Linked DNA regions of Alligator mississippiensis. The protein of the gene in region 3 purifies or fractionates together with the protein of the main gene of each other region. This does not show direct contact. Links are inferred from orthologs where the notes say so. Each region holds a gene or a part of one and is shown on either strand. Other genes may lie near its edges.

Region 1 (7,219 bases), on a different chromosome or scaffold from region 3:
GCAAAGCTGTTGGTCTATATAAAGCATTATTTTTGGCATAATAGTGTGGTGTCGGTAGTGCATTTCACCTGAGGATCTTGAACTGCTGCACTAGCTTCCATTCATTCCCACATATGCTCCTGGGAAAGTAAATAATTCTTATGGTTCCCACTTTGTAGATGGGAAGTTGTCAAGTGACTTGTTCAAAATTGCACAGTGAATCAGTAGCAGAACAAAATAGAGTCTAGTCCAGCTCCTGCCGGGCAGCTGGACTCCAGCAAAGAAAGATGGCAAGAAGAAGGGACAAGGGCCACTAATGAGTTGGTAACTGGGGAGTGCTCCATTAACATTCATTAATGGATCCAGGGAGTGGCTTTCAAGAAATAAGCCTTGCATAATGTCAGAGGAACACACGTCCATCTAAAGGGAAAGTTATGGGTACTCCTGAAGTATATGTTGACACCAGAGTGAGCCAGGCCATTTGGGCCATAAGGCATGTTACTGATTACTACCATGTACATACAGAAAATGCAACAAGAATGAAGATTCACCCAGCAAACAGCAGACACTGGTTATATACCAGTCACAATTTTAAGGTCTGTATAAAGCAAGGGGGATGAAAAGTATCCTGAGTTTTGTTACTAAAAGAGTTATGAAAGGGGAAAAAGGCATAGCATCCCAAGGAGAAAACATAGGGAGCCAAGAGGCTTGTCTGTCTAGCAAGTAACAGTATAACAAAAAGGAGGAACAATTTTGTGTGGCAGTGGAGGTGATTGATCACTGGAAGAAACTGCAATGGGAGGTGATGGATGTCTCAGCTCTGATGTTTTCATATCATGGATGAGTGTTTTTCTGGAAGACAGGCTCTAGTGAAACACATTGTGCTTTAGTTAAAACGAACTGATGTTAAATCAGTATCAACACTGGAGAAACAAAGCACAGAGGACTGGAAATGATTCCCTGCATCACTGAGATTATGTACATTTATGGGGGCTTTTGTTGCTTTAATGGCATTGCTGACTGGGCTGCATCCACAGCAGGGGTTTTGCCATAGCGGCAGTGATCTTCTCACATGCCTGAGTACAACTTACCACACAACTCCTATTAACCTCAGCAGGAACTTTACGTGTATATTGGAAAGCATAGTTTACCCCTACATCCCAGTCCTGCCATGTGATACAGACCAAAAGATCTCTATGGCGATATAGGATTTCATAGATTTCCAGGGAGCAAGCAACAATCTGTCCATGTTGTAGACTTGCAACCTTAGACATTGTCAGATTACCATCAATATGTAAAAAAAAAAAAGGATGGTTGCAGTGCAGCTGTTTTTTAAAAAAGAGATCTGCCATGGTTTTCTTTTTTAATATAAGCCCCATTGAAAAGGGCAGCCCCACAAGCACATTTGTAACTCCAGAGAAATGTTATTTAAAAATAAGATTGTTGATAAAGTGCTGCCTTGTTTCTATGAGATCCAGTTTTTTTTCCAGTTGTGTGTACGTGCACATGCTCACACAAATTTAGGCCTCAAACCTGTCCATGTGTATACATACACAAAACTTTATGCATATGAGCAGTCTAAATGGCATCACTGGATCTCAGCTTGTACATCAACCAATACACATGTATACTGCCTTCAGACCTGGGACCTCTAGCTACAGACCTACAGAATTTGTGACACTATCTGTTACCATTTGGATTACTGAAATTTCTTGTACTCCAGATGAAAGAGAATGGCCTAAACTCTTCACATATTTGAGAGGAGTTGCAGTCAGACACCATCCAGGAGATTTACAGAGAAAGAGTTGGAATCATCCGGCCAATATTCCACAGAGATCCCTCAAAGAAATGAGGTTAATTATTATTCTTAAAACAGAATTTCACGTCTCTGAACCTAAGACTTTTCCTACAAAATGTTATTAAAGAAATACTAAATGACTCCCAATGGGCCAAAGCTGCTGGAAAGGTTCCACTTTGACCAGCAATGCGCTGTTCCAGGTGAGAAACATTTCTAGTTGGATCCTGCTTATGTTCCCCAATTTACATGGGGAAATACGCCACGCCCTGAACCTTCCAGTGCTGTAGCATCCCTTATGCCAGCCGTCATGCACATCAGGGCACACCAGTCACAATGCTGGAGAGTTCTTTGGCTAGCTTTTAATATAAGGGGTGGAATTATTTAGCCTTTCCCCATTTGTGGCAGTGATGGGAGCAGGGGACACTGAAACTATTGTCCCTGAAATAGGCTAGACTAGCCTACGATGCCACAAAAATATTCTCGAGAGAGATGAGAATCAGTGATCTGCTTTTAATTATATTATGTTATATCATTTTACAAACGCTTGGAACGTCTCAATGTAAATTCACTCGTTGGAGTCCTTTGATAGAACCAGCCCTGCCTGTGGGTCAGCTCAAATTCTCAAGAATAAGAGAATCCCGAGTAACTTCACTGAATTCAGCATCTACCGTCCAGGTTCCAAGCTGCGTCTCTCAGCAAGCGCAACCCAGGAGGAGAGGGAACGGGTTGAATGCAGGTGGCTTTGTGCCACCTCTGTGAATCCTGAATTCTGAACTGGTTCAATGGCTATCAGTCCTTGGTGTAAATCAGAACTACACCAAGGGCTGTTCCCATTTTTGGCAGATAGTCACCTATGGGCTGTTCTACAGCCCCGGTAGCGTAGAGATGCAGCCGGGCACCCAGGGTACAGAGGCAGCAGTGACTTGCAGTTGCCATTGAGATCACAACTGTGACTGCAGGAGCTGCTGCTTTTTTTTGCCCTTCTCCAAGTCAGCACCTGAGGCTATTGACCTGTTCACCCCGCCCTAGTTATGCCACTGTCACCCCTTTCCATTACTGGACTTAGGGCTGAGTCCACCACATACTGGTGACTGCAAAGAATGGCAGTGTGGAACCACAAAGGCCCAGGGAATCACAAGCAGTGAGGATATGGGTGCTCCTGTGCCATAAAGGGGCTATGAACATGTTTGAGGCCTGGCGTCTTGAGTTTAGATAGAAGAGGCCCTCCCTTTTAGATCTGACTGAGGAGAGCCTTGGTGCGCCGGGCCCACTGTGCACCCCACCCCGCGGCCCTTCCTGCCTCACTTGGAGGGGTGGTAGCAAGGTGCCCCCTTCTGCATAGGCAAAGGCCTGGGTAGTACCAGCAGTTTCCCTCCCTCCCTCCCCGCCCACCACAGAGGCAGACACCATCCTCATGAAGAGGTCCCCCACGCTCCTTGCAGCGGGGGCTGTATCTGCTCCAAGGGGCAGCACCCATAGGCCAAGGCCCGTCATGGAGGGGCATGGGGCAGCTCCCACCCCTCCTGGCTCCTGTCACAGGCTCTTTGCAGGCTCAGGCATCTGCCTCAAGCCAGCCTACAAGCTTCCCCCTCCCCCTGGAGCCTGGGGGCAGGTGGGATGGGTGCGCACGTGCCAGTCGTGGGGGGCTGGGGCAAGTGGGGGCCGGGCACACGCCCTCGTGTCCCTTCTGTGAGAGCAGCGGAGCAGGGGCAAGTGTGTGGGGAGGCACGGGGTGTTAGGGCAGCATATGCTCACACTGTGGCTGCCCTCCTGGGCAACAAGCTCCACCCAGCAGGGGGCGCCCCTGCCCCGCCGCACCGCAGGACGAGCACACACCCTACCGCCGCACCCACGACCCGCGCAGGCCCCACCCGTTAAGGGCGGGGCGGGCGCCCTACGCGCCACGCCCCGCCCCTCTCCTCCCCCTGCAGCCGCTAGGGGAAGCTGCGCGCGGTGGGCAGGGCACGGCCGGCAGCGGCTGCTCTTGGCGCCGCCCGGGCGAGGCTGCAGCGCGGCTCCCGCTCCAAGATGGCGGCGCAGAGGAGGAGCCTGCTGCACAGTGTGAGCGCCGGGGCGGGAACTCTACCCCGCCCCACGTCTTCCCTGTCCCCCCATCGCGGCGGGCGGGGGCCCCTTCCTCACCCACCGGCGGTCTGCAGCCGGGCCGGGCCGGGGCAGAGGGGGGCGCAGCGCACGGGCTTGGGGGTGGGGCTGTACGTGACGTGAGGTTACGCCAGGCGCGCTGCCAGTTCGAGGGGGTGGAGCCCGGCGTTCTTTTGTGGGCGGGGCATGGCCCGCGGTGTTCTTGTGTGGCCCCGCCCCCTGGCTAGGGGCGGGGCTGCCCCCAGGTTGGCCTGGAGTCCTGGCGGGGAGGCGGATCATGGGGGCAATGCCATGAGGGCAGGTGTCTGCCCTAGGGTGTGGCTTGTGCCCCTGTGGCAGGGAGGGCTGCAAGGTCACTGGCAGGGTGGCTGCAGTGCCTGGGACCTTGATGGCATGGGCAGGCAGTGGCAGGTCCCAAGCATCCCCCAGCCCTAGTTCCCCATTATCTGGTTCCCCCATGGAGCCAGGGGGGAGATTTTTTCCCCCCGGGGTTTCAGGGTTTTTTCACCTTTCTCAAAGGTGTGGGGCATTGGCAGCAGCCACAGCTGGGGATGGCGACTAGGCTGTGCCAGGACTACTGCTGGCGCTTGAACGCAGAGGTTCCTGGCTAGAGGATCTTGTCCCTCTGCTCAGGGTCAGACCGATCGCCATATCTGGGGTTGGGAAGGCATTTTCCTCCATGGTCAGATTGGTAGGAACTCTGCGGGTTTTTGTCTCCCTTTGTAGCAGGAGGCATGGCTCTCTTCCTGGGATCTCTCGAGCATATATTAACAATCTTTTCAGCAGCAGGATGCTGGCTGCCATGGTGCCCCTGCTTTCCCTGTGGCAGGTCAGAGTGCTGTGTCTGGTGTTATTGCAGGGTTGACTAGCTTTGCTTTAGACAGTGGATTTGCCTGGGATGGTTTGGAGAGGAATTAGATCGTTCAGGCAAGGAGTTGGACTAATTGACCTCTGAAGCATCCTCCATACTTCCCTCTGATTCCCCATTCCCTTCCCTGGCTCTGTTCCCAGGAGCAGCAGACAAGCTGGACAGATGACCTGCCCCTCTGCCAGCTCTCTGGAGTGGGCTCTGCTCCCAACCGGTCCTATGGCGCAGATGGCAAGAGCACTGAGGGGCACCCCTGGGAAGACAACTGGCTGAAGTTCCGGTGAGTCGCCAGCACCCCAGGCCAGTGGTGGCGCTTGGCTGGTTTCCACAGAGGGGTGGGGTGGGGAGGGGGCAGGGTCTCTGTACTCCACATGCACCTTTAACCCCCGTGCCTCGATCTTCTCTGACAGGGGTGAGAACAGCTGTTACCTCTATGGGGTCTTCAATGGCTACGATGGCAACCGAGTCACCAACTTTGTGGGCCAGAGGCTCTCTGCAGAACTGCTGCTGGGCCAGCTCCACACGGATCACAGTGACGCTGATGTGTACCGAGTCCTGCTGCAGGTAATGGGGTTGTGGCTGCAGAGACTGTGCCTCCCCCTGCATTAACACTCTCTCTTTGCCACAAGGAGAAGAATGCCCTGATCCTTAGCAGGATGAGGAGAAGGTTGGGGAGGCCTGCCAGGAGCTGAGAGTGTGCCTACCTTGAGGACAAGGAGCAGTAGCATTTCATTCTTCTCCTGTTTAGCCCCATCTGCCCTTCTAGCTCCAGTAATGCAGCGTTGACAGCACTGCAGAAAGTTGGATTCTTTCTTTCTTGGATGCAGGGACATGTTAATTGAAGAAGGGGTTTACATTGAGATGATGATGAGGGAACATGGGGAAATGGACTTATTAACTCACTTCCTGGAGTAACGGTAGCTGCCTTTTGAGGTGTGACAGATGTGTCTCGTTTCCTCTGAATAGAATTTGTATATCTTTTTCTTCACTTCCTGTCCTTCACAGTTGCACAGGGTTGTATTTCAGCTACTCTTATCTAGTTGCACTAGGGCGATTGCATTTCCAGGGGAGGTGGGCTGATCCCCAAGGAGATAAATCTAAACACTTTTATAGTTTGCTGAGTAATGTGATCTCTTTTTTCAGGATGAAGGGGAAACAGATGTTGTGTTGCTGTGTTTGCAAGGCAGCTGCTGTTATCCAGTCTTGTGTTACTTTCTTGTATCCGTTCTCAGGCTTTTGATGTGGTAGAAAGAAGTTTCCTGGAGTCCATTGATGATGCTTTGGCAGAGAAGGCCAGCTTGCAGTCCCAGCTGCCAGAGGTAATGTGATAGTACTGAGAAAATGTGTCCCCAAGCCCCCAAAATTCAGTTAGAAAAAAGTCAGAGGTCTTCCTGAGGCTAATGGCCCATACAGCTAGCATGGTTAAAGCATATTGATTTCTGTTGCCAGGGCATAGTGTGGCCTAGCAGCCTCTCCAGTCATCTGCACCCCAAACACTCAGATACCTGTACTTGGCTAGGGTGAATCAAGCTGGCCCTCAGCACAAATCTGTAGCCAGGTTCAAACTTTCGGCTCTGGAGCCAGAGCAAGATACCTCCATTGCTGTGCCACTTTGTTTCCCTTCCCCAGTTCCCTTAACATTGCTGATTAAGATGTGGAGCCTCTTGTCTCTAGGTCAGTAGCCTTGGTTTGCCCCCAGGGAAGCTGTGACAGAGGTGTCACCTACCATAGTGATCCTTTGGTGGCTTGTGTGAAGTGGGCAGGTCTTAATCTCAAACTTTCTACTTTGTATAACCTACCATCACCATTGGCACTCCTTGTACCTGTTTGCAGCAGTCTTAGTAGTGAGAGCAAAGAGCTGGATGGGTTATGGAGACTGAACTCACTGCAGTTGATGCCCCTTCAGGATGAGGCAGGGATCAGGATATGGCCATTTGATTGGCTTCTGTACCATCACTGTTCCTATTCTGCAGAGAATTAGAATGTTTGTCTCCCAAGATCAGTGAAATCTGGCCAGTACTTGTCAGTGCTTTAAGCCTTAGCTTTGCACCAGATGCAGTGGCAAAGACCTTCCCTGCCCTGAAGAGCTTGGTATCCAGCTGTGATTTCTGTGGCAATGGATTGTGTGTTTAAGTTTCCCTGTAATCCTGGGTTCTAGGGGGTGCCCCAGCACCAGCTACCTTCTCAGTACCAGAAGATTGTGGAAAGGCTTAAGGCCGTAGAGCGGGAAATCTCTGGAGGAGCCATGGCTATTGTGGCAGTCATTCTCAACAACAAGCTCTACATCGCCAATGTAGGTGTGTGCCTCTTTCTCAGCTTTTCATCTTGGCATATCTGAGGGCAGTTACAGCCATAGGGCAGCCGGTTAAAACTTGACCGTAGTGGGAAATTGAATTGGCTTATGCAGGTTGGAAAACGCACTTATCATTCCTTGTGGGGGCCACTAGCATCAAAGTGGTACTGAAGCTGGT
Region 2 (7,510 bases), on a different chromosome or scaffold from region 3:
GTGCTCCCTCGTGCCCTTCTAAAAACACCAATTTGCACTCTGACCTCTGCAGCTGTCCGAGGAAAGCAAGCTGACGCAGGTGAGGCCACGCACTGCTATGCAGTATGGCCTGAACAAAACCATTCCAGTTCTTCCTCTAGACACAGGTCTGAAATGCCCCAGGTTTGTAGTCCAGCCATGTATACGCCTGACAAACAGGAGTGTTTATTAATGTCTGGTCTCACTATGCAGACACCCAGCACATGAAACCTATCAAGATGTTTATCGTTCAATATGGAAAGTCCCGCTGAACTAACTGGAATTTGGCAGAGCCGCAGGACTAGAGACGGAATTTGTACAGCAAAAATAGTTCCTTCGAAGGCGCCACTGCAAATCAGAACAAGGATCCTGCCCTCCGGCCAGCACTACACCCTCCCAGGTTTGTAAAAAGGTGTTTAAGCAACACCTGCTAAGACGCGAACCAGTAAAGCAGGACTCCCTTCTGTTCCCATTAACCAACCTGAGAATCTAGGGAGCAGGGGGAAGAGCGTGGCTAAAACACCAGCCACGCGACTGAATAGGGACATACCACCTTCCCTGTTCTGCTTTCACCACTGGGGCGCACCTTCTCCAGAGCTACATCTACAGCTTCTACAGCCACAGGGCAAAAGCAAGAGCATTTGAGTGGGAGAGATCTAAGAACATCCTCTTTTGTGACGCCTTTGAAAAATAAAAGACAGACATGATGCAGCTCTAGAAGTTGTTCATTTCTTTTGGCCAGACTTAATGCTAAAGTCTTTGTGCCAACCAGACAGACAGCCATCGCTGCTACTTGGAGCTGTAGCTGAAAGGTCCACAGAAGCACACCTGTCTTTTACTGCTCCCCACCTGTTTGCAAAGGCCCTTGTAAAAGTCACAGACATTAAGTGATATCCCTGCTGCATTGTACACTGCCCATGCTAGAGGATTACCTACAGTCACCCTACTCGTTCTTATGTAAACATCACCCATAGTTTTTGAACTGATGGCTAAGACATAAAACTTCATTAAAAATGTTACGATCTTGCCTACTTCTCACTGACTAAATGAGAAAACTGAAGAGAAAAGGAACTTTTATTTACTTGTATCGCATTTGTCCCATAGCCACTGTCAAACCAATCCGTATCTAGTTGCAACTATGTGGCCTTCAGCCTTGTACTGGATACAACTGGAAAGCAACCAAGTCAGTAAGAAGTATTTTCAAAGGCACCAGTGCTAATTAGGTATCTAATTGCCACTGCGCCTTTGAAACTCGCCCCCACAACGGATAGAGAGAGCTCGCAGCAAGTCGCACACTCTCAGCAGGCCACTTTCCAGAGACGCCCAGGCCGTCTCTCCAGCACTGTGCAAAACACCCCAGGAAGGAGGACAGTGCTGGAAAGCTTGCACCACAGAGCAGCCGCTGCGCTCCCGTGTGCCAGGCCGTGTGTTTTTGACAACTGTTCTCCCTAGTTCTGCCTGGAAATGAGTTGCAAATCTCAACTCCAACAGCTCACAACCTGAGGGTCTCACTAGCTTTACAAACAGAGCCTCGAAACACCATCGCCCGGCACCGGCTTTGTCTGAAACCTCAGCCCTGTCTGCTCCCATCACGTTTCCACAACCCTCGTCGCTCCGGAGACAGCAGCCAGCAAAGTTTTCCCGAAGATCAAACCCAGGTTGCTCTCCCTGTGCTCCGGGGCAGGGAGGCGCTGGTGTGCGGCGTATACTAATGCGCCGCCCTTTGCCATCTCCCTCGGCGCGGAGCCGGTACCTGCACTGACAACCGGTGCAGATTGAGGGTCTCTGAGCACAGGCGTCCGTCTAGTCACAAACTAGCCAGACAAGGAGCGAGTCCCGCTGCGGCGCGGACCCCCAGGATGCCCGGGCAGTGCGGACACCTCTTGCCGAAGAAGGGGATGGAAAAGCCCCACCTGGCGCAGCCTGCTCGCCAGTCACCACTCGGGGGAGCCCCTGGGAACGGCCACTGGCACGTGCGGCCGTGTCAGGCCCTGTCTGTGCGAGGGTCACACCCAGGCGTGCCCCCCCAGGTGTGTCAGACCCTGCCGGTGTGACGGTCACAACCAGGCGTGCCCCCCCAGGTGTGTCATGCCCTGTCTATGCAAGGATCATTCCCAGGCATGCCCCCCCCGGTGTGTCACACCCCGTCTGTGCAAGGACCACTGCCAGATGTGCCCTCCACAGGTGTCACCTGTGTGTGTGCGAGGGTCACCCCAGCTGTGCACCCCCCCCAGGTGTGCCAGACCCTGTCTGTGCAAGGAGCACTGCCAGGCGTGCCCTCCCCAGGTGTCCCAGACCCTGTCTGTGCAAGGACCACTGCCAGGCGTGCCCTCCCCAGGTGTGTCAGACCGTGTCTGTGCAAGGCTCATCCCCAGGCGTGCCCTCCCCAGGTGTGCCAGACCCTGTCTGTGCAAGGACCACTGCCAGGAGTGCCCTCCCCAGGTGTGTCAGACCGTGTCTGTGCAAGGCTCATCCCCAGGCGTGCCCTCCCCAGGTGTGCCAGACCCTGTCTGTGCAAGGAGCACTACCAGGCGTGCCCTCCCCAGGTGTGTCAGACCGTGTCTGTGCAAGGAGCACTGCCAGGCGTGCCCTCCCCAGGTGTGTCACCCCTGTGCGTGCGAGGGTCACCCCAGCTGTCCACCCCCTCCCAGGTGTGTCATATCTTGTCTGTGCAAGGATCACCGCCAGGCGTGCCCCCCCCGTGTGTCAGGCCCTGTGTGTGCGAGGCTCCCCCCCGGCCGGCCTCCCCCTCGGGCCCGGGGGTCCCGGCCTGTCAAGCCAGCCCAGCCAGGGGCGGAGCCGGCCCCCACCCCCCCGCACAGGGAAACTGAAGCCGAGCCGGGCCGGGCCGGGCCGGGCCGGGCCGGGCGGGGCGGGGCGGCGGTACTCACCGGGCCGCCTTGGGGCCGCCCCGCCCGGGCCCCGCTCCATGGAGCCGCCGCGGCCGGGAGCTTCCGGCCTGCGCCTCGCCGCGCCCACGTGACCCGCCGACCAGCGAGACGGGGAGGGCGGGACGGACGGGCCGGCAGCGCAGCCCGTCCCCGCGCGCCGCACCATAGAGACGGCACGGGGCGGTCCGCCAGCGGCGCCTGCCCCCGCCCCGCCCCGCCCCGCCCCCCGCTCGGGCCGCCAGGGCCTCGACCCCGCCCCCCACCCTGAGCAAAGTGTGCGCATGCGTGTGTGCACCCACGTGTGCGTGCATATCTTGCACGTGTGCGCGCGTGGATCTGCGTGCACGGGTGCAAGCATGCGCGCACACGCACGTATGTGCATGCGTGTACGTGGACAAGTGTGCTTGCATGTATGTGGACGTGCGTGTGCACAAATGTGCGCACGTGTACGCAGACAAGTGTGTGCAGTGGGTGAACCATGAGACAGACTCCCACAGGGGGGGAAAGCAGCTGGGAGAGGCCGGGACCTCGGGGCCAGCACTCCCTCCTGCCCGATGGTCCCGCCGTGCCCAGCTGCCCCCTCCAGCCCCGCGCCCCGGGGCAGCTGTCGGGGCTGCCTGGCCAGGCCTGGCCTGACTGGTGCTGCCCCAGGCGAGAGCCTGCAGCTCGTAACAGCAGGACGGAGGAAGCCGCGAGCGCCGGCAGACCCCGCTGTGGCACAGGGGCTACAAAGGAGGCAAGAGCACCCGGACGCCCCCTCGGCCAAGGGCCGACCCGCGTCCCTGCTCTCGCCCGAGATGGAAGAGGGAGGTTGGCCTCATGCCCTGCCAGCCCTTTGCATGCGGGGTGGATGTCACCCCTAGTGAGCAGAGGCCCTGCTCGTGCTTGAATACACATTTCATAGGCATTCGGGCTGGAAGGGACCTGGTAAGATCATCGGGTCCAGCCCCCTGCCCCAGGGGCAGGAAGTCAGCTGGGGTCACAGGATCCTAGCATGACAGACATCCAGATGTTTCTTGAAAGTGTCCAGAGTAGATGCCTGCGCTTCTGGAGGGAGTCTGTTCCAAGCCTTTGAGACTTGGACAGTAAAGAAGTTTTTCTTTATGTCCAGCCTGAAACGGTCTTGGAGGAGTTTGTGACCGTTGGACTTTGTCATCCCTTGGGGTGCTCTAGCAAACAGGCGTTCCCCCAGATCCCGATGCACACCCCTCACGTACCTATAGGCAGCCACCAAGTCATTCCTGAGCCTGCGCTTCTCCAGGCTGAAGAGTCCCATGGCTCACAGCCTCTCCTTGTAAGGCCTGTTCTCCTGCCCTTTGATTGTGCGCGTGGCTCTCCTCTGCACCCTCTCAAGCTTCTCCATGTCCTTCCTGAGCTGTGGAGCCCAGCACTGGATGTAGTACTCCAGCTGCGACCTCGCCAGGGCCAAGTAAAGCAGGAGGACAACTTTCTGGGTCTTGCTTGAGAAGCATCTATGGATGCAAGCCCGAGTTTTGTTTGCTTTGCCGGCCACAGTATTGCATTGGTGGCTCATGTTCATCTTGTGGTCAGTCAAGACCCCCAATTCTCTTTCGGTCGTGGTGCTAACGTGTGCAGCACGGCTGAGCCTGTAAGCGTGATGTGGGTTCCCCCACCCACCCCCTGAGGTGGAGCACCTTGCATTTCTCCATATCGAATGCCATCAGATGATTCCTGGGTTCCTTGCCTCAACCACGCATGAAGACAAGAGTTAGCCTGGAGGCAAGTAGAAGGCCGGGTAGATTTGCACCTGACAGACTAACCAAAGGAAAGCTATATTTCTACTTGTATGGATATAAATATACATATACATGTCTAGATAAGATCTATTTATATCTATCCAAGTAACCTATCCACGTGTAGCTATCCATCCAAATGCACTGTATACTTTTGCTATCCAAGTATACTATATATGTGTGTGTGTGAATACACACACAGAGTTATATCTGTACAAGTAGATCTATATTGATATCGATCCAAGTAGATATATCTATTTATTTTGTTTAACTTGTGAGGTGCAAACCTACCCTGCCTTCCAGCATCCATACAGACAGGGGCTGGCCCAGATGCCTGCCCTGTGAAGACCATGTGTACCTCTGTAGAAGAGCGCTTTAAACAATATTGTGTGCCACAGAGCAGCAGGGTATGAGCGCTCCAGCACCCAGTTGAGGATGGTCACTTCACATGACAAAAAAGAAAAGAACAGAAAAGGTCTTGTTCCTTTTTTTAATTAGTTTTCACAAGGCAAATCCACCAGTGAAACCACGCAGCTCCATCCTGCCTCTGATTAAACACAGAAGTGGTCTTAAGCAATAGAAAGCAGAGAAGCTGCTTTTACTCCACTTTGGACTCCTTCTGGTATGAATATCAGGTGTAAAGCAGCGCAGAATCATATTTCTGGGATCTAAAATAATGACAGAAGGATCAAGGTCCTCGATCAGTGCCAGCTCCAACCACAGCAGACATCTCGTTGGCAGGTTTTCTGCTTGGGATCACTTTGTGTCCCAGACCTTGCATGTGCGGTAAGCAGATAAAAGTCAACACAGCTGCTTAAATCAACACACTCCACAACCCCCTAGTCCAAAGTCAGAAACGGCTTTCTATAAATACAGCCAGCTGCAGCAGCGCTTTTGGAAGGAAACGCATGCAGATCATCAGCATGTCAAAGCAAAAAGCTGAATCACACAGCAAAGAGCTTCTAATCAGGATTTAATACCAGGCACAACCCACCAGCAAGCACCGCTTTAAAAGGGTTCCCCATGTAGACACCAGCTTTGAATGCAATGAAGATGCATCTGGGGAGAAGAAGGGGAAATAGATCTACACAATTCTTGAATATAGGATTATTATTTGGAGGATGTTTTGTATCCCTACACCACCTATGAGCCCCAATCAGAGAACTGTATCCCGTCAGACAAGTCACTTGCATCTGCTTTAGGTACAAGACCAAAGAGTGATGCAGAAACCAAACACATAAGGTTGTGACGCACGTGGTGTAAGGAGCAAGTCCCTGTCTAGACACAATGCAGCAAGCACAGGTAGGATACTTCTGATGGAGCTAAGGGCAGCCGCAAATCTGGTAGGTGGATCACACAGCAATCAGCTGGAAAATGATTAAAATTCCAGTGCAAAAAAACAAGGTTTTGGCAAATGGAAATTAGAAGCCAGTACCTGGGCTGGACTTATTCCAAATACAAGGAGCAGGGAGCAGATAAATAACAAAACTGAATTTTAAACTGCAAAATGATTATAGGAGGAAGCCTAATCTGAATGCAACATTGCCATGGACAGTTGATGCAGCGAAAGACAGGTTGGAGGCTGAGCAGTCAAACCCCCTCTGTGCTAAAACCTCTTCAGATGAGGGGAAGAAAGCGAAGGTTGAGAACTCTTTCCCAGCGCTCCTGCGAAGGTTGGCTGATTTACTGACTTTTAGCCTTAAAGCTCCAGAGCTGAGCGATGGGACCTGCAGGTCCAAGTCCACCCTTCAGTGGTAAGACCCACCCTTGAAAAGACCACCCCTTTCCCTAAGCGCTTGTCTCCACCCCGACTGGCAGCTAGCGCCAAGCTGTGCGGTGAAGTTAGAGGATTTAAAAACATTCATCCCACTTTGCAGCAGGGGCAGGAAATATCGTTGTGTCCGCTGCCATCTACAGAACCAGCTCCTTGGGAACTGAACTTTTCTTCTGCTGGGATCTGCCATCTTAGTAAACAGATTTTTTTCTTAAAAGAGGAACTTCAAGAAGCTGGAAAAACCCTATTCCCCCCCCCGCCTGTAAATCATGTGATGTGGAAATTGTACCTGTACACCATATGGAGGGGTCGGTGCAGCTCCCTGCATCCGGGGATGAGCAACTAATTGTGCCCAAAGCAGTCGTTGTCTCCTGCGGGAGTTTCGCACATTCGTTTCTTCTCACCCAGATTCCATCGGAAATGTCTCTGGTAGAAGCTGAGCTGAACTGGGATCTCTCCTGAAAATCCCTTTGGTCAATTAAGTATTAATGAGCAGCATGAGTGTGTTTATGAATTAGGGAGGGCTAAATGCTGGCTATCACAGCCAGAGGCGCCCTGGAGGGGAACAGATGGAGCATACTGCACAAGGCGTCCCCAGAACAAGTCTGTCCGAGTCCGGGACGGTTCCTGCTGGGGTCCCCAAGGGAGCGTCAGCTGGAAGAGCGGATCTGCCACCTCCCAGCCAGTGCAGAATATGGCACCTGCCCGCTGTGGAGGGGGCAGGGGGGACTGAGGCATGGTTCTCCCTTGCCCCCGCACCCTTTGGGGTAGCCAGTGTGCCGGGGGCAGTGCTGGCGCCATGCAGGGTCTGTCCTCCCCTGCGGGACTGCTCTCGCTCCTGCCCTGGGGGGCAGCCTGTGTCCCCTGCCTGTGCCCCCACTCAGAGGGGCATGCTCTGGCTGTTTGTCTGGCACAGTTAATCAGTGAAATGGAGGAAGCAATGGGTCTCCAGCAATGCACGTTTTGCTCGAGTACTTCAGGCCCCATTCCTGCCTTGAGACCTGCCCCCACCCCAGGCTTCATCCCCGCTCGTGCCCCAGGCTCCATGGGAAGGGTGCGCAGGCACCGTCAGC
Region 3 (6,857 bases):
AATAATCATGGACTAAATATAGACATTGGATTTATGACACATTATAACCTGTCTAACATCTCCCCAGGTAACCTCTCTACCACCTTACCAGCTATATTCAACCCACTTCCCTCCCCCCCCCCCCCCCCCCCCCCCCCCGCCCTTGACTGCCTCAATTTACATTTTCACTGACTGGCTTTCTCACTTGCATGCTGGCTTCTGGCTTTTTTTACTGTTCCATCCAGGAAGAGCACAGACCAACTGCAGATGTTTCCTCAGCCTGATGAATGGTATTTCTACCTAAAAGCGTGCAAAAAAGATTTTTTCCAACTATTTGGGTTGGTCTAATAAAATATATTGATTTACCCAAAGAACCTTGTTTGCCTGTGCCTTCCAGTGAGGAACTCATAGAAAGAATCATAGAAAATTAGGGCTGGAAGGGATCTCAGGAGGTTATCTACTGCAGTGGTTCTCAATCTTTTTTGTACCAGGACCCATTTGTAAACACTGGCCAGTCCCAACTCAGTACCCCTCACTCCCAATCCACTGCCCCCTGGCTCCATGCCCCAGCCCCCCAGTGTGTGGGGCAGAGGGTGCCCCAAGCAGTCCCTCTCAGGCTGGCAGAAGCAAGGGAAAACCCATGGTTTCCCACATTTTTCTCCTTTTAAAGGAGAATCATTTTTTAAAGTTTGCTTGTGACCCGTCCATATATTCTTCCAACCCACTTTTGGGTTGCAACCTACAGGTTGAGAAATGCTGATCTAGTGAGTACAACCCCCTGCTCAAAGCAGGGCCATCACCAACTATCTCATCTGAGCCAAGGCTTTGTTGAGCCAGGCCTTAAACCCTTGAAGGATGGACTACATGGTCTCCTGAGGTCCCTTCCAACCCTAATTTTCTATGATCTAACTGGTTGCTTTTCATCCAAACCACCTCTGGGTAACCTGTTCCAGTGAGAGAGCTTTTCCTAATATCTCACCTCCATTTCTCTTGCTGCCACTTGATACCATTGCTCCTTATCCTGTCATCTGCCCCACCCCTGAGACAAGTCCAGTTCCATCCTTTTGGGAGCCCCCCCTCAAGGAGTGAAAAGCTGCTGCCAACTCCCCCCCCCTTCTTGGCTAGGGACAAAAGTTGCACATCAGCCAGTTTAAATGATCAGAAACTGGTTTAAACCTGTAACAGAACAGAAGTTCAGTGCACATAAACCAGTTTCAAAATGGCTGAAACTGATCTAAGATAAACCTGATTGAATGTAGTATCAGACTTTAACTGATTGAGGTCAAATTGGTTTACGGAGCTTCTGTCCCAGACCCTTTCCTGGTTTAAGCTAAACCAGAGTCCCCCAGCATGCTCTGCAGCCCTGGGCTGGGCTGTGTTGTCTGCTCCAGAAAGCAGGGTGCCCTGTCACTGCTCTCTAGCTGGAGCAGGGGCAGGGCTGTGGCCAGAGGCCTGCCCAGCATGGAGTGAAGGAGACAGGGAGAGGGTTTATTTCTCCCCTCCCTCCCCTCTCCCACTGGGGGACCCTCTGCCAGCCCTGGCAACTGTCTGCTGGTTGCCCTTGACCAGGCAGACCCTGGAGGGAGGGGGAATGGCAGGTGTAATAAATTCCCTTCCTGCTGCCTTTGCCTCGGGGGGCCACCATGCTCAGCTGGCATCTAGTTAGTGGCCAGGGTCTGGCCATGTTCCCCAGCCCCCCAAAAGCCTGGCAAAGGCTGCTTCCAGCCTCCAGGTACATCCCAGCTCGGGTCCCTGCAGGTCAGCCTGGTGGTTTAAACCCCTCTCCAAACATACTCAGGCCACCCCCTCATCTCGGCACCATGAAAGGGAAGGGAGGGCTTGCTCTAGCCCCCCCACCCCACCAGGCTTCTAGCCTGAGCCACTGCAGGCCTGTGCCTGCATGTCTGGGATCAAAAGTGAACGTCTATCTACTTGCTTGGCGGATCAAGCTCTGCAGGCTAGACTAACCTGCAAAGACTGAATCCATTCAGGCTCGGGCTTCTTGGATGGCTGTCCCCAGCTCCAGACTCAATCAGCCCAGTTCCCTCTGCCTCTCCTCACCCCCGTGCCCCAACCCCAGCCCCCTCCCCCCCTCCTTTGCCCAGGGGGCAGCGGCGGCGGCGGCGGCAGCAGCAGGGCACCCCCCCTCCCCTCAGGCGGCGGGGCCCCGTGGGGTGGCGCCAGGCCCGGGCGGGGAGGTCCTCGCGGCCAGGCAGGGGCAGCGGGGCGCACTTCGCAGCCGGGACCGAGGGGAGGGCGCTGGGCGACGTGGAGGCGCCGCTTTCGCTTTTGCTTGCAGCGATCGGGAAGTCCGCCCCGCCAAGGCCAAGGCCAAGGCGGACCCGCGCGGGCACACGGGGCAGCCTGCTCTCCCGCGCCGCGCGGGCCGGGGGCGTCTTACCCTCGTGTCCCCGCTCCAGCGCCGGGAGAGCCAAGCCCAGCCGAGGCGAGGCCTGCGGTGCCCCCGCCGCCAGTCTCCGCCAGTCGGGCCGCGGGGAGGAGCCGCCCAGGAACAGGGCCGGGCTCGCCCCGCGGGGAAGTCCGGCTGCCGGCAGGCGGGAGGAGGAGGAGGGCTCCGGGCGGCACCCCGGGGGGCCCTGGCACCCCTGCAGGGGTGTCGCGCAGAGGCCGCGCTGCTGGCTTTGCAGCCGCCGTGCACAGATAGACCCAGGGCTTTCAAACGGGAATCTGTAGTGTCAACAGCAATCTCACCCCTTCTGGGCTGCCTTGCAGAAGACTTGTTTATCTGTAGTTAAAAAACACACACGCGTGTGAAAGCTAGGAGCTAGCATTTTTTCCAGGGGCACCTTGAGTCTAAGACAGGTTGAGAGCCACCACCTTGGAGATTAACAGACTCTAAGGTGCTGGCCCCTGTCCTACCTTTTGGCTGAGATCAAGTGTAGCCTGGAGATCTTCAAAAGGAGACTTGGACGCAGACCTTGCTATGGTTATTTGACCCCAGCTGTCTTTCCTGCCCACAGCAGGATGGCTCCTTCCAGCCCTAAACTTCTGTGAATTGGTGCAATACCTGCCTTCAGACTAACAGGGAAGTGGCCTCTCTGAATCCCACGGGGAGGAGTTATCTCCGGAGCATGTTACTCAGCATGTGAGCAGTGATTCTCTGGCAGGAAGTTGTGGCAGCCCTGAGGCCTTGAGGTCCTTCCAAAGGTGCTGCGCAGTGGGAGCACTGTTGGGTTTGCAGCCACCATTTGCAGATAAAACCCAGGCTTTCAAGCAGGAATCTGTAGTATCAAAAGCATTCCCCCCCTTCTGGGCTGAGTTGCTTGCAACAGAAGAATTGGTCTTACTGTTTTTCTGTAGTTATAAAAACCACAAGTAAAAGCTAGAAGCAGGCATTTTCCTGGAGGCGCCTTGAGTCTAAAAAGGTTGAGCATCACTGTTTTGGAGGTTAACAGACCTTTCCTGCCTGTTGGCTGAGATCAAGTGTAATACCTGCCTTCAGACTAACAGGGAAGTGGCCTCTCTGAATCCCACAGGGAGGAGTTATCTCTACAGCATGTTACTGGACATCTAAAACGGGGTAGGCAAATCCTAGCACAGGTGCCAGAGTGTGGCCCACCAAGGCATTTTGCTTGGCATGCACATCTTGGGGCAGGCAGCAAGAAAGGGGCCAGGGCTGCACTGCCACAATGAGGATTGGGCCCCTTGCGGCACACCCCCCCCCCGCCATCTGCCTCTGGCACACCAACATCTTACAAACTGAGTTTGCTGGTGTTCTTGACAGTCCAATAACATTGCTGACTCGGATCTAGAGCCGTGATTTTCAGGCAGGGAGCCGTGGTGCCCTGGGGGAAACCTTGAGATCCTCTCAAGGGTGCCCTGGGCTGTCAGGTAGGCCTGTGTGATCAATTAAATATCTATAACTTTGTTGTTTTGCCTCTGATTTGGGTGAAACTTGCAGGGGTGGTGGCCCCTGCTGAGGCCACAAAGTCTGCCAAGTTTCAAGAAGATAGGTGCAGGGGTTTGGGAGGAACTACACTTCAAGCTGCTGACAGGCAAAACTCATGACATAGATGACCCACTGTGTGTTAAGGTGCAGTGGGCTGAAAACTGCAGGGGTGGTGGCCCTTGCTGAGGCCACAAAGCCTGCCAGCTGTGTGTGTGTCTCGCTGGGGGAGTCTGTCTTCTGGGGCCCTGCACCTCAAGCTGCTGGCAGGCAAAACTTGTGATGTGGGTGGGTGACACGGTGGGTGTGTGTTAAGGTGTGCCCTTCCTGGCGCTGGGGCCACTGCACAATATGGCAGTGTGCCCCAGTGTGGCCTCCTCCTCCCCTACAGCCTCACGGCCAGTCCACCACTTTGTGACAACAGGTACAGTAACTTAGCTGGCTCAACATCAGTAGCAGCAGCAGCAGCAGCATCAAAGGTACCCAAATGGAACTGTCACAGAGCCTTTCTTTTTATAAAGGAATTGACAGCAACAAGTAAAGATGTTGTGTTGGACATATGATGTTACTCATAGTGTGTGATGGCTTATCTTGTGTTTTTATGTCTATATGTGTATTATGAAAAAAAAAGGAGTACTTAAAAAAAATGTATCTTTGGAAGCTTTAGGGTTGAAAACCCCTTTGTCAGGCTGAGGAAGTACCTGCAGTTGGTCCTGGATGGAAGGAATAGTAAAGAAGCCAGAGGCTGGCCTGGCCCACAATGCAGACAAGAAAGCCAGTCAGTGAAAATGGAAATGGAAGCATCAGGGGGTGGGGGACAGGCTGGGGTGGGGGGTAGTGGGGAAAGGGGGATGCACTGTAATTTGTTCCCTCTCAGGATCAGAGATCATTTGTACATTCAAACAAGCACCTACCTTCATCACCAGAACTGAAGCCAACTTCCTACAGCTCAAAACACAAAACCTGCCAACTATCTCCAGTACCCCCACAAACTGCACACCAGAATCTATCAAAGACAACAAAACCCAACTACTTGTGGGGGCACATTCCTCACCAGAAAAACACTCTGCCTCCAGTCTCTCAGGCCTGATCCTGAGAGGGAACAAATTACAATGCAAACCACTTTTCAGAGCTGGTCCTATGAACTGCACTTCATCAGCCTCCTAGGTAGTAGGTACACAAACTAATGGACTCAATATAGACAGTGGAGTTCTGGCACACTGCAACCTGCCAGACATCTGACACCCCAGGCACCTCTGCACTTTTACGTGTGCTGCTACATCCCCCTTTCCCCGCTACCCCCCACCCTAGCCTGTCCCTCACCCCCTGACGCCTCTATTTCCATTTTCACTGTCTGGCTTTCTTGTCTGCATTGTGGGCCAGGCCAGCCTCTGGCTTTTTTACTATTCCTTCCATCCAGGACCAACTGCAGGTACTTCCTCAGCCTGACAAAGGGGTTTTTCAACCCTAAAGCTGGCATCCCGGGCAGCTAAGCTGAGCTCACCAGGAGCCTCACAACTGCACTGGAACCAGCAAGCGTCAGGTTTGTCAAAGATATGACAGGTCTGGGCATTCCCTAGCCAGGAAATTGTGCATGTGTGGGTTACCTGGAGGTTATAGCACCTCCTACCCGCCTTGCACCAGGGGCTCGTTTGTCCTGGCATTTACAGGGCTGCTGCGCTGCCAGCAGTCCCACCAGGCCTCCCTACCCTGGCAGGGTGCAGTTTTAGTGGTCATGCCCAGGACCTGGGGCCTCCTCCTTCCCCATAGCCCCTATCCCATACCTCCAAGTTCATCCTGGCAGGGGAATGAGCTCAGCAGGGACATGTTCTTCCCCTGCTGGCTGGTGATGCAGTTAGTGTCCCTTCCAGCTGAGAGCGGGGCACTACTCAGCTTTTAAAAAACTCAGAAAAGGAAATTGGTGCAGATGGAGTGAAGAGGGTGGCACTCAGTCCATCTGCAGGTGGAGCTTGGAGAACCCCAGCAGTGGGAGGTTCACCTTTAGGAACACCAGCTGTTCCACCAAAGCAGGATCCAAGCAGGTGCGGTGGGGTGTCACAACATCCCCAGCAATGCTGAACACCCTCTCACTTGGAACACTGGTTGGTGGACAGGACAACCGGGCAACTGTGGCCAGATCCTGCCACATCTGGCTGTGGTTTGCCCAGTAGGCCAAGGGGTCACAGTCCAGTGGCTCCACATCCTCAGCAAGATAGGTAGCCACAGAAGCCTCCACGCTACCTGCCCGAGGCTGGGGCCTGGTGCATTTGGATCCCAGCATTGAAGCCATGCCCATGGTCCACATTGGCAGTGGCTGGCGTGGAGGAGACTGGCTGGTGCTGGTGCTGGCATGGGAAAGTGGGTCCCCCTCTTCCACATCTCCTTGCCTCTGCACTTCAGCTTCCCTGACTTTGTTGACTAGCACCTGCATCCAGTGATCAAGGGTTTTGGGGCTGCCAGTGCACATGCTCCCCTTTACCCTCGGGTTACACATGCCCGCCATCATGTGGACTGTACTGGACCTCAAGGGATCCAGCCGTCTCCTGATGCCCTCCTTCAGCCATCTCACTAGTGCCTGCATGTCTGGTAACAGTGGCCTGCCCCAGCCAGCAACATTGATCCCCTGGAACTTCTCCATTTGGTTCTCCAGTTCCCTCACTAGGGGGATCACCTGGCTAAGGAGGGCATTGCCAGTGCTAAGGGTCTTGGTGGCCTCGAGGAAGGGCTTGAGAACCACCAAGATCTGGGAGATGATACCCCACTCAGCTCTGTTCAGGGGGCCGCTGATCCTAATTTCCCCAAGCAAGGCCATCTCATGGATGGCCTTCTGTTACTCCACCAGCTTTTCCAGCATCAGGTATCTGGAGTTCCACCGAGTCTCCACATCCTGAATGATTTTGTTCTGAGGGATGCTCAGCTCTGCCTGTTTCTCTCACAGCATCTTTCCCCCCTTGATGCTGCAGTGGAAGTA
Region 4 (7,360 bases), on a different chromosome or scaffold from region 3:
GAATTTTTACTAGACAGTCTCTGGTTACAAAGCAGACGTATCTCTGGTAGGAGGGGACCCAAATGGCATAGTTGTCCACAGCAAAACATGGAATTGAACTTTGGTTTCCTGAGTTCTAAGCTACTGCCCTAACCAGGAGAATATCCTTCCTCTCAAAGCACCCCAAGTGTGATGGGTGCAGATGAAAACCTATAGGCTCAATGATTTTTTTTTAATTACTTTAGTAAGCTTTCTTTCTCTCTTTGCATGCCGTTATATGTAAGAAATATTTGAAATCCTTTTGCTTAGTAGTATACAAGTGATACTAAGCCCTCAAAGTTAACATAGTACTAATTAAAAGTTGTGTCAGTCAAAAAAAAAGAAATGAATAACTTAAATTATACCATCGTTTAAGACTTATCTTCACAATGGTGACAGATTTTGATAAGGATTGTGATTTTGCTTTTGCAAACAGAGAGCTTGTTATTATTGTGATACATATTTCTACAGCCATTTCTGAAAGCAAGTGAACCTTACAAACAACTATAATTGGAATTCTCTCCTTTGTGTTCCTTGCTCTCATCAACAAAAAATAAAGGTAGCATGACTGTAGAAGAAAAACAGGGCAAAAATATACTTGGCAGCAACTGGAATTTGCTTGATATGTATTCTCAAAAGAGGCCTTTGAGTCATGAAACAAGCCAAACCTTCCATTAATCTTACTATTATCTCATTTTCTCAATATCCCACAAACCCATGTTCTAGCTTGTGAACAAAATGAATATCACTACTGTATAATGTTCATAGGACATTATATGCAGGAAGACTCACTCCTCAGATTCAGTTAGCCTTAGAAATTAAATATAACGTAAATGGCTTTATGCAGTAAGCCAGAACTGTGGAAGGAAATGTGTTTTTGAAATATGTGTTTTCAAAAACAACAAAAGGTGTCTAGGGAGTAGCCTTACAGTTTCTGGAAAGGAGAAATATTCCAAAATAGACATTTTACTAAACAATAAATTGTGATTAATTGATAAGATTGCTACTGGCTTGGATTAATCAGAGGGAGCAGTGTTTAGGGCTTAAAATAATATAACAGGGTAATCTAAATATGCTTCTTGTAATCAGAATGGGTTGAAAAAGGCAACTATTGGCCCATTTGTTTTGTAGGGGAGGGTTGCATTTGTTTCTATTTTTGGCTAAATTTTCATCTCTTTAAATTATGTTATGAAATGCAGTTGTTATTCCAATGTCATCTGAGTGTCTTGTGCCAATATAGAAGATCAGATAAAAAACAATGGAGACATAGGTCCAAGAAAGTAAAACCATGCCATGGAACAAAGCAACAGATCTAGAGACAGAATTTGAGAACTGATCAACATGTTGGCTCTTCTGAAGAGCTAGCCATCAATCTCATGATGGGAACCAGTAGGTACTGGGCTCCTTTAAAAATCTGGCCTCAAGTATGAGTATCGAACACTTAAAACACTATTCTCTTCTGCTCTCATAGCAATGTGAAGTGGTACAGAGTAGAAAAATTAAACAGCTGTGTCAACAATCTGTACAACACTGATAAAAATTGCTATGGAAAGGAATATATATTTTTAGTGTATTTAAAAGCCTTTTGATATATTTTAAAAGAATCTGGAAATAGGTATACAGGCAGCCCTCCCTCGACTTACAATGTTTCAAGTTACAATGTTTCACACTTACAACATTTATAAATTGACACTGTTTCAACTTTCTGATGCCAGTTTTGACTTTACAACGCTTGACCTGATGTGACGCCATGACAGTGAACAAGTCGCTGTGTCACCCATCTCCCTGGAGAACATCTGTCCAAACTTCCTTGGACGCTTTCTTTAAGAAAGCAGACAAGGCTCCAGAAAAACCTGCAGGCAAGACTCCTGAAAAGACTCCAGCCAAGAACCCTTCAAAAAGTCCAACAAAGTCACCTCAGAGAAGTCCTTCCAAATCAATATGTTGCTATTTACAATATAAATACATTAATGTAGCTGTGCTACTCATCTATAATTGATCGAATACAAAATTCTGGGTTATTTTTGGTGAAAATAAGGTACCAGGCCTTGGTTCAGGAACCAATCCCCTATTTATAACATTGTTTCTTATGAGAAAATTGGTTCTGAGTTACGTTTCGACTTAAGACGCCGTTTTCAGGAACCAATTATGTTGTAAGTCTGAGAACTACCTGTATATTGAACTTGTTATGATTTTCATAAGAACGAGATTTTGTTAATAGTTGTTATCCAAAAAGAGTGGTCCATGCTTTGAGTACCTCACAATCTAAAGCCCTTTCCAAGCTAACATGGACTAATGGTTAAGACCACACTCCTGAACACCATACAGTGGTAATCACCTAAACACAACCCTCTTTTGTTATATGGACTGCAAGTGATTAATTCCAGCTGCTTTTTACAAACTCTAGAGTTGATATTAGGGGCTAGTGCAGCCAAGAAAGGGTAGATGTGGGATCACCAGCTTTTACTTTGTCTCTCCCACCCCAGAGAAAAGAAAAAAAAGCCGGTAGAGGGCCTGATATACCACTGTGTTACTCTAGGTTTATGCTGGTAAAAATCCATTGATTTCACTGGCGTTAATCTAGAATAATATGGCAGTGGTAGTTTCCTTTAAAATGTAATAATAGAATCTTCTAATGAAATCAGAAAATAAGTAATGCAATCAGCACATTAGCCCTTGTGTTAGTTATTTTGATATTGAATTCCCCACGCAGCATTTTGGGATGGGATAACATATTTGTTGTTTGATCAATAGTGACATTTAAACTGTCATCTTCAATTTCAGAGCTAACACCCCATTAGTGTGAGTGAGAACAGCCAACTTTCCCGAACTAATCTTTTAGGCTATTTGCCGACCCAGCAGAGTGATATTATCTGTAACACGTGGTTCACATTTCAAGGTTTCTTTATAATCATATGACCATTAAAGTTAAAAATATTAGAAGACAGGCAGATACTAGGACATAAGGAAGAAAATATGACTTAAAGAAAGCAATCCCTTATTGCCAGCAGATTTAAGAAGGGGGAAGAGTATGGTCACACACATCTGAGTATGCTACCTTTATATCCATAGGTAGATATATCTATCTAAGATTTAAGGAGGGAGGGGTTGAGTGTATGTATGTAGACACACATAGGAATGCACTTCCTTACATCTCTAGCTAGGGAGTTATTTCTATCTATAGATTTAACAGAGGTATGTTTATATAGACACACATACATGTACATTTCCTTACATCTATAGATAGATATTTCTATCTATAGATGTGTGTGTGCGTGTGCCTGTGTGTGCAGACATGCACATTCGAGTATATTTCCCTACATCTATAGATACATATTTCTATCAACAGATCTATAAAGGCTGTGTGTATCTGTCTGGACACGCATCTGAGTATACTTCCTTACATCTATAGATACAGCGAGAGATATTTCTAGCTACAGATCTAAGGGCTGTGTGTGTGTCTGTCTGGATGCACATCTGGGTACACTTCCTTACGTCTACAGATAGATAGATATTTCCTTCTATGTATCTAAGGGGGGGGTATTTAAGGGCGTATGTATCTAAGGGTATGTGTATGTGTTTCTATCTATAGATCAAAGGAGGGGGCGGGGGGGGGGAGGGGGGCATGTAGACACATCCCAGTACACTTACTTATATCTCAGGCTAGAGAGATACTTCTATCTATATATTTAAGGGGGGGTGCAGACATGCACAGCCAGGTATACTTCCTTACATCTACAGATAGATATTTCTATCTACAGACCTCTCAGGGTGTGTGCTTCTACCTATAGATCTAAGGGGGTGTGTGTGTGTGTTTACTTCTAGCTATAGAGCTAAGGCGGGGGGGGGGGGTTAAACACCTCCCAGTACACTTCCTTCCATCTCAGGCTAGAGAGATACTTCCTATCTATAGATTTAAGGGGGGGGGGGGGTGCAGAGACGCACATCCCAGTGCACTTCCTTACATCTACAAATAGATTTACAGATAGAAGAGTGTGTGTGTGTGTGTGTGTGCAAACACACACATCCCGATACACTTCCTTCCATCTCAGGCTATAGAGCCACGTCTATCTGTAGCCGTCGGGAGAAGGCGCGGGGAGCCGCGCACATCTGAGGGCGCTCCCTAACCTCTGCAGACAGCTGTGTCTCTCCGTAGGGCTCAAGGGGGTACGAGTGGGGGAGGGGGAGCCTAGAGCCGGCCTTGCTGTGGCGGGACCTTCCTCCCGCCTCCCTGCGGACCAGGGCCAGCGCGGGGCGGGCGGGGCATCCTCGGCGCCTGCCTCAGCTCGGGCGGCGGCGGCTCCCCCTGGCGGCCCGGCCCCGGCAGGAGGAGGAGGAGGAGGTACCAGGCGCTGCGCGGGGCTCCCGGGCCGAGCGCGGGGGAGGAGGAGGCGGCGCCGCCAGGCCATGGCCCCGCTCCGGCGGCCTTAGCGGCAGCTGCCGAGTGCCCCCCTCCCGGCTCTGAGCGGCGCCTTCCCGCCTCAGCCCCGCCGGGGCTGGCGGAGGCGGCGAGCCCCGGCCCCGCCACTCGCTCCGCCGGGGCCTCGCAGGCAACGCGAGCCGCAGGCCCCGGGCGCGGCCTAGGCCGGCGGAGCGCAGCGGGCGCCCGCCAGCGCCTCGGATGCGGCCGCCTCCGCCAGCCCCGGCCCGGCCCCGCTGAGCCCGCGCCGCCCCGGCCCGGCCCGGCCCCGGCATGTCTGCGGCCGCCTCGGCGGACATGATCGAGACCCCCCCGGTGCTCAACTTCGAGGAGATCGACTACAAGGAGATGACCGTGGAGGAGGTGCGGGCCGGGCCGGGTGCGGGGCCCGCGGGGAAGGGGCGGCCTCCAGCTTTCGCCCCTCTGGGCGAGAGGGAGCGGGTTGGGGAGAGCCTGAGGGCCGGAGCAGGCAGGTGGCAAGGTGTGCGGCCTAAATGCCCTGGTGGGGGGCTGGGGGAGAAGTGGAGTAAAGGAGGAGGACACCCCAAGTGAGACAGGCCTGTGCCAGGCCCCTGGACAGCCCTCCCGTTCCCGGGGATAGGGTGGACTTCATTAGATTCCCACAAGTTCCCCAAAAAGAGCAATTCTCAACCAGGGAGACCAATGGGCAATGCACTGAGCCCTGGCTTTCAGCCTCTTTTCACTTGTGGACCCCTAAAAAATTTCGAATGGAGGTGCAGAGCCCCGCAGTTTTAAGTGGGGGTATTCAGACACTTTTGATAGATCGTAGTGCTCATTCACCAACCTGTTAGACATAAGTCTGTAGACCGCCAGTTGTCCATGGACCACAGGTTGAAAACCGCTGTCCTATCTGTGTGTGAGAGATATGTGAGTATATGCTATATGGAGTATACAGGTTTCCTTCGCTTTATGGAGGTTCTGTATGTGTGAATTCGCTCTTACACGATGACCCTTTTTATACCAAAAATTCATTATATGCAAGGTAAATTCACTCTTATGCAATTGGTGTGGTGGAAGTCTGCAGTCAGCTGCTTTGCAGTGCATTGTGGGAGTGACGCACACCAAAATATAGTCTTTTATGTGGATCAGTGCTCTTCGCTCGTTGTCTGCGACAGGTGTCTCTGTAGTTGCCATCCCCGTTATGGTAACATTCACCACCACCCTGTGCTTGTGTGTACTGTCTGCTGTTGGTGAGTACCACAGTTGTCTTGTAAAAGTGGTAGAAATGGGTCTGAGGGTCAGTACAGTCTAGGTCTTGGAACGTATCCCTATCTGTTACATTGTATGCGTAATCAAGTTACGTGCCGTTTTCCAGGAATGCATGTACAGCATAAAGCGAAGGAAACCTGTGGTAGTGTGTACAGCATGCATACACCATACATTATGTGCATTTGGGCTGTAAATACTGATTAAAGAAAATATCCGTTTAACCTGTTGTAATTACAACAGTTACATGATTACTTGGTATGGCAACCCCCAGGCTGCTTGTGGACAGCAGTGGGGTGCGGGGGTTAGGGGGGGACTAGTACCTAGTAGCTAAGCTCCACGGACCTCAGTACACTGGCTTGCAACCTCCTTGCTGCCTGCCGCAAACAGCTCGGGCTCTTAGATAGGCAGCAGGGGCCTGTCCAGAGCCTGGGCTGCTTGTGGCAGACAGTGGGGAGGCTGCAAGCAGCTGCAATTGGGGTCCGCAGAGCGTAGCTGTAGATACTCTGTAGATACTGTATCTGTAGATACTCTGTAGAGCTGTGCGTCTCTCACTGGGGTTGTAGAGAGACAGCAGCAAGGCGCCAGACTTCCATGCGTAGACCCTGAGATGGTGCAGAGTCACTTGGAAGAACTGGATGCCTTTAAGTCGGCAAGCCCGGATGAGCTCCATCCGAGGGTGCTGAAGGCACTGGCCGACATCATTGCAGAGCCACTGGCGGGAATATTCGAACGCTCGTGGCGCACGGGCCAGGTCCCGGAGGACTGGAAAAGGGCCAACGTGGTCCCCATTTTTAAAAAGGGGAGGAAGGAGGACCTGGGCAACTATAGACCAGTCAGTCTCACCTCCATCCTTGGCAAAGTCTTTGAAAAAATTATCAAGGCTCACATTTGTGAGAGCCCGGCAGGAAAAATTATGCTGAGGGGAAACCAGCACGGGTTCATGGCAAGCAGATCGTGCCTGACCAATCTAGTCTCTTTCTATGACCAGGTTACGAGACGCCTGGACACAGGAGGAGGGGTGGATGTCGTATACTTAGACTTCAGGAAGGCCTTCGATACGGTATCCTACCCCATACTGGTGAGCAAGTTAAGAGGCTGTGACGTGGATGACTACACTGTCCGGTGGGTGGCGAATTGGCTAGAGGGTTGCACCCAGAGAGTCGTGGTGGATGGGTCGGTCTCGACCTGGAAGGGTGTGGGCAGTGGGGTCCTGCAGGGCTCTGTCCTTGGACCGATACTCTTTAATGTCTTCATCAGTGACTTGGACGAGGGAGTGAAATGTACTCTGTCCAAGTTTGCAGATGACACAAAGCTATGGGGAGATGTGGACACGCCAGAGGGCAGGGAACAGCTGCAAGCAGACCTGGACAGGTTGAACACGTGGGCAGAAAACAACAGAATGCAGTTCAACAAGGAGAAATGCAAAGTGCTGCACCTAGGGAGGAAAAATGTCCAGCACACCTACAGCCTAGGGAATGACCTGCTGGGTGGCACGGAAGTGGAAAGGGATCTTGGAGTCCTAGTGGACTCCAAGATGAACATGAGTCGGCAGTGTGACGAAGCCATCAAAAAAGCCAATGGCACTTTATCGTGCATCAGCAGATGCATGACGAATAGGTCCAAGGAGGTGATACTTCCCCTCTATCAGGCACTGGTCAGACCGCAGTTGGAGTACTGCGTGCAATTTTGGGC

The links.
Region 1: the proteins of RIPK1 (region 3) and TAB1 purify together in Homo sapiens (affinity purification with mass spectrometry; 3 studies listed by BioGRID and IntAct, with this or other methods). This does not show direct contact. The link is inferred for Alligator mississippiensis from reciprocal best matches to the Homo sapiens genes RIPK1 and TAB1.
Region 2: the proteins of RIPK1 (region 3) and RNF216 purify together in Homo sapiens (affinity purification with western blotting; 3 studies listed by BioGRID). This does not show direct contact. The link is inferred for Alligator mississippiensis from reciprocal best matches to the Homo sapiens genes RIPK1 and RNF216.
Region 4: the proteins of RIPK1 (region 3) and MAP3K7 purify together in Homo sapiens (affinity purification with western blotting; 5 studies listed by BioGRID, with this or other methods). This does not show direct contact. The link is inferred for Alligator mississippiensis from reciprocal best matches to the Homo sapiens genes RIPK1 and MAP3K7.

What each region holds. Positions count from the first base shown.
Region 1 is NC_081827.1:99,038,697-99,045,915, reverse strand, and holds the start of TAB1 (TGF-beta-activated kinase 1 and MAP3K7-binding protein 1), read left to right. Parts: upstream 1-4,200; 5' UTR 4,201-4,559; coding exon 4,560-4,709; intron 4,710-4,891; coding exon 4,892-5,028; intron 5,029-5,158; coding exon 5,159-5,312; intron 5,313-5,980; coding exon 5,981-6,067; intron 6,068-6,906; coding exon 6,907-7,045; intron 7,046-7,219. UniProt on the Homo sapiens protein: Key adapter protein that plays an essential role in JNK and NF-kappa-B activation and proinflammatory cytokines production in response to stimulation with TLRs and cytokines.
Region 2 is NC_081836.1:53,437,158-53,444,667, forward strand, and holds the start of RNF216 (E3 ubiquitin-protein ligase RNF216), read right to left. Parts: upstream 3,001-7,510; 5' UTR 2,950-3,000; coding exon 2,910-2,949; intron 1-2,909.
Region 3 is NC_081826.1:121,050,084-121,056,940, reverse strand, and holds the start of RIPK1 (receptor-interacting serine/threonine-protein kinase 1), read right to left. Parts: upstream 3,015-6,857; 5' UTR 2,860-3,014; intron 2,647-2,859; exon of another isoform or gene 2,381-2,646; intron 2,008-2,380; exon of another isoform or gene 1,948-2,007; intron 1-1,947. UniProt on the Homo sapiens protein: Serine-threonine kinase which is a key regulator of TNF-mediated apoptosis, necroptosis and inflammatory pathways.
Region 4 is NC_081824.1:77,998,324-78,005,683, reverse strand, and holds the start of MAP3K7 (mitogen-activated protein kinase kinase kinase 7), read left to right. Parts: upstream 1-4,348; 5' UTR 4,349-4,711; coding exon 4,712-4,801; intron 4,802-6,656; coding exon 6,657-6,746; intron 6,747-7,360. UniProt on the Homo sapiens protein: Serine/threonine kinase which acts as an essential component of the MAP kinase signal transduction pathway. Plays an important role in the cascades of cellular responses evoked by changes in the environment.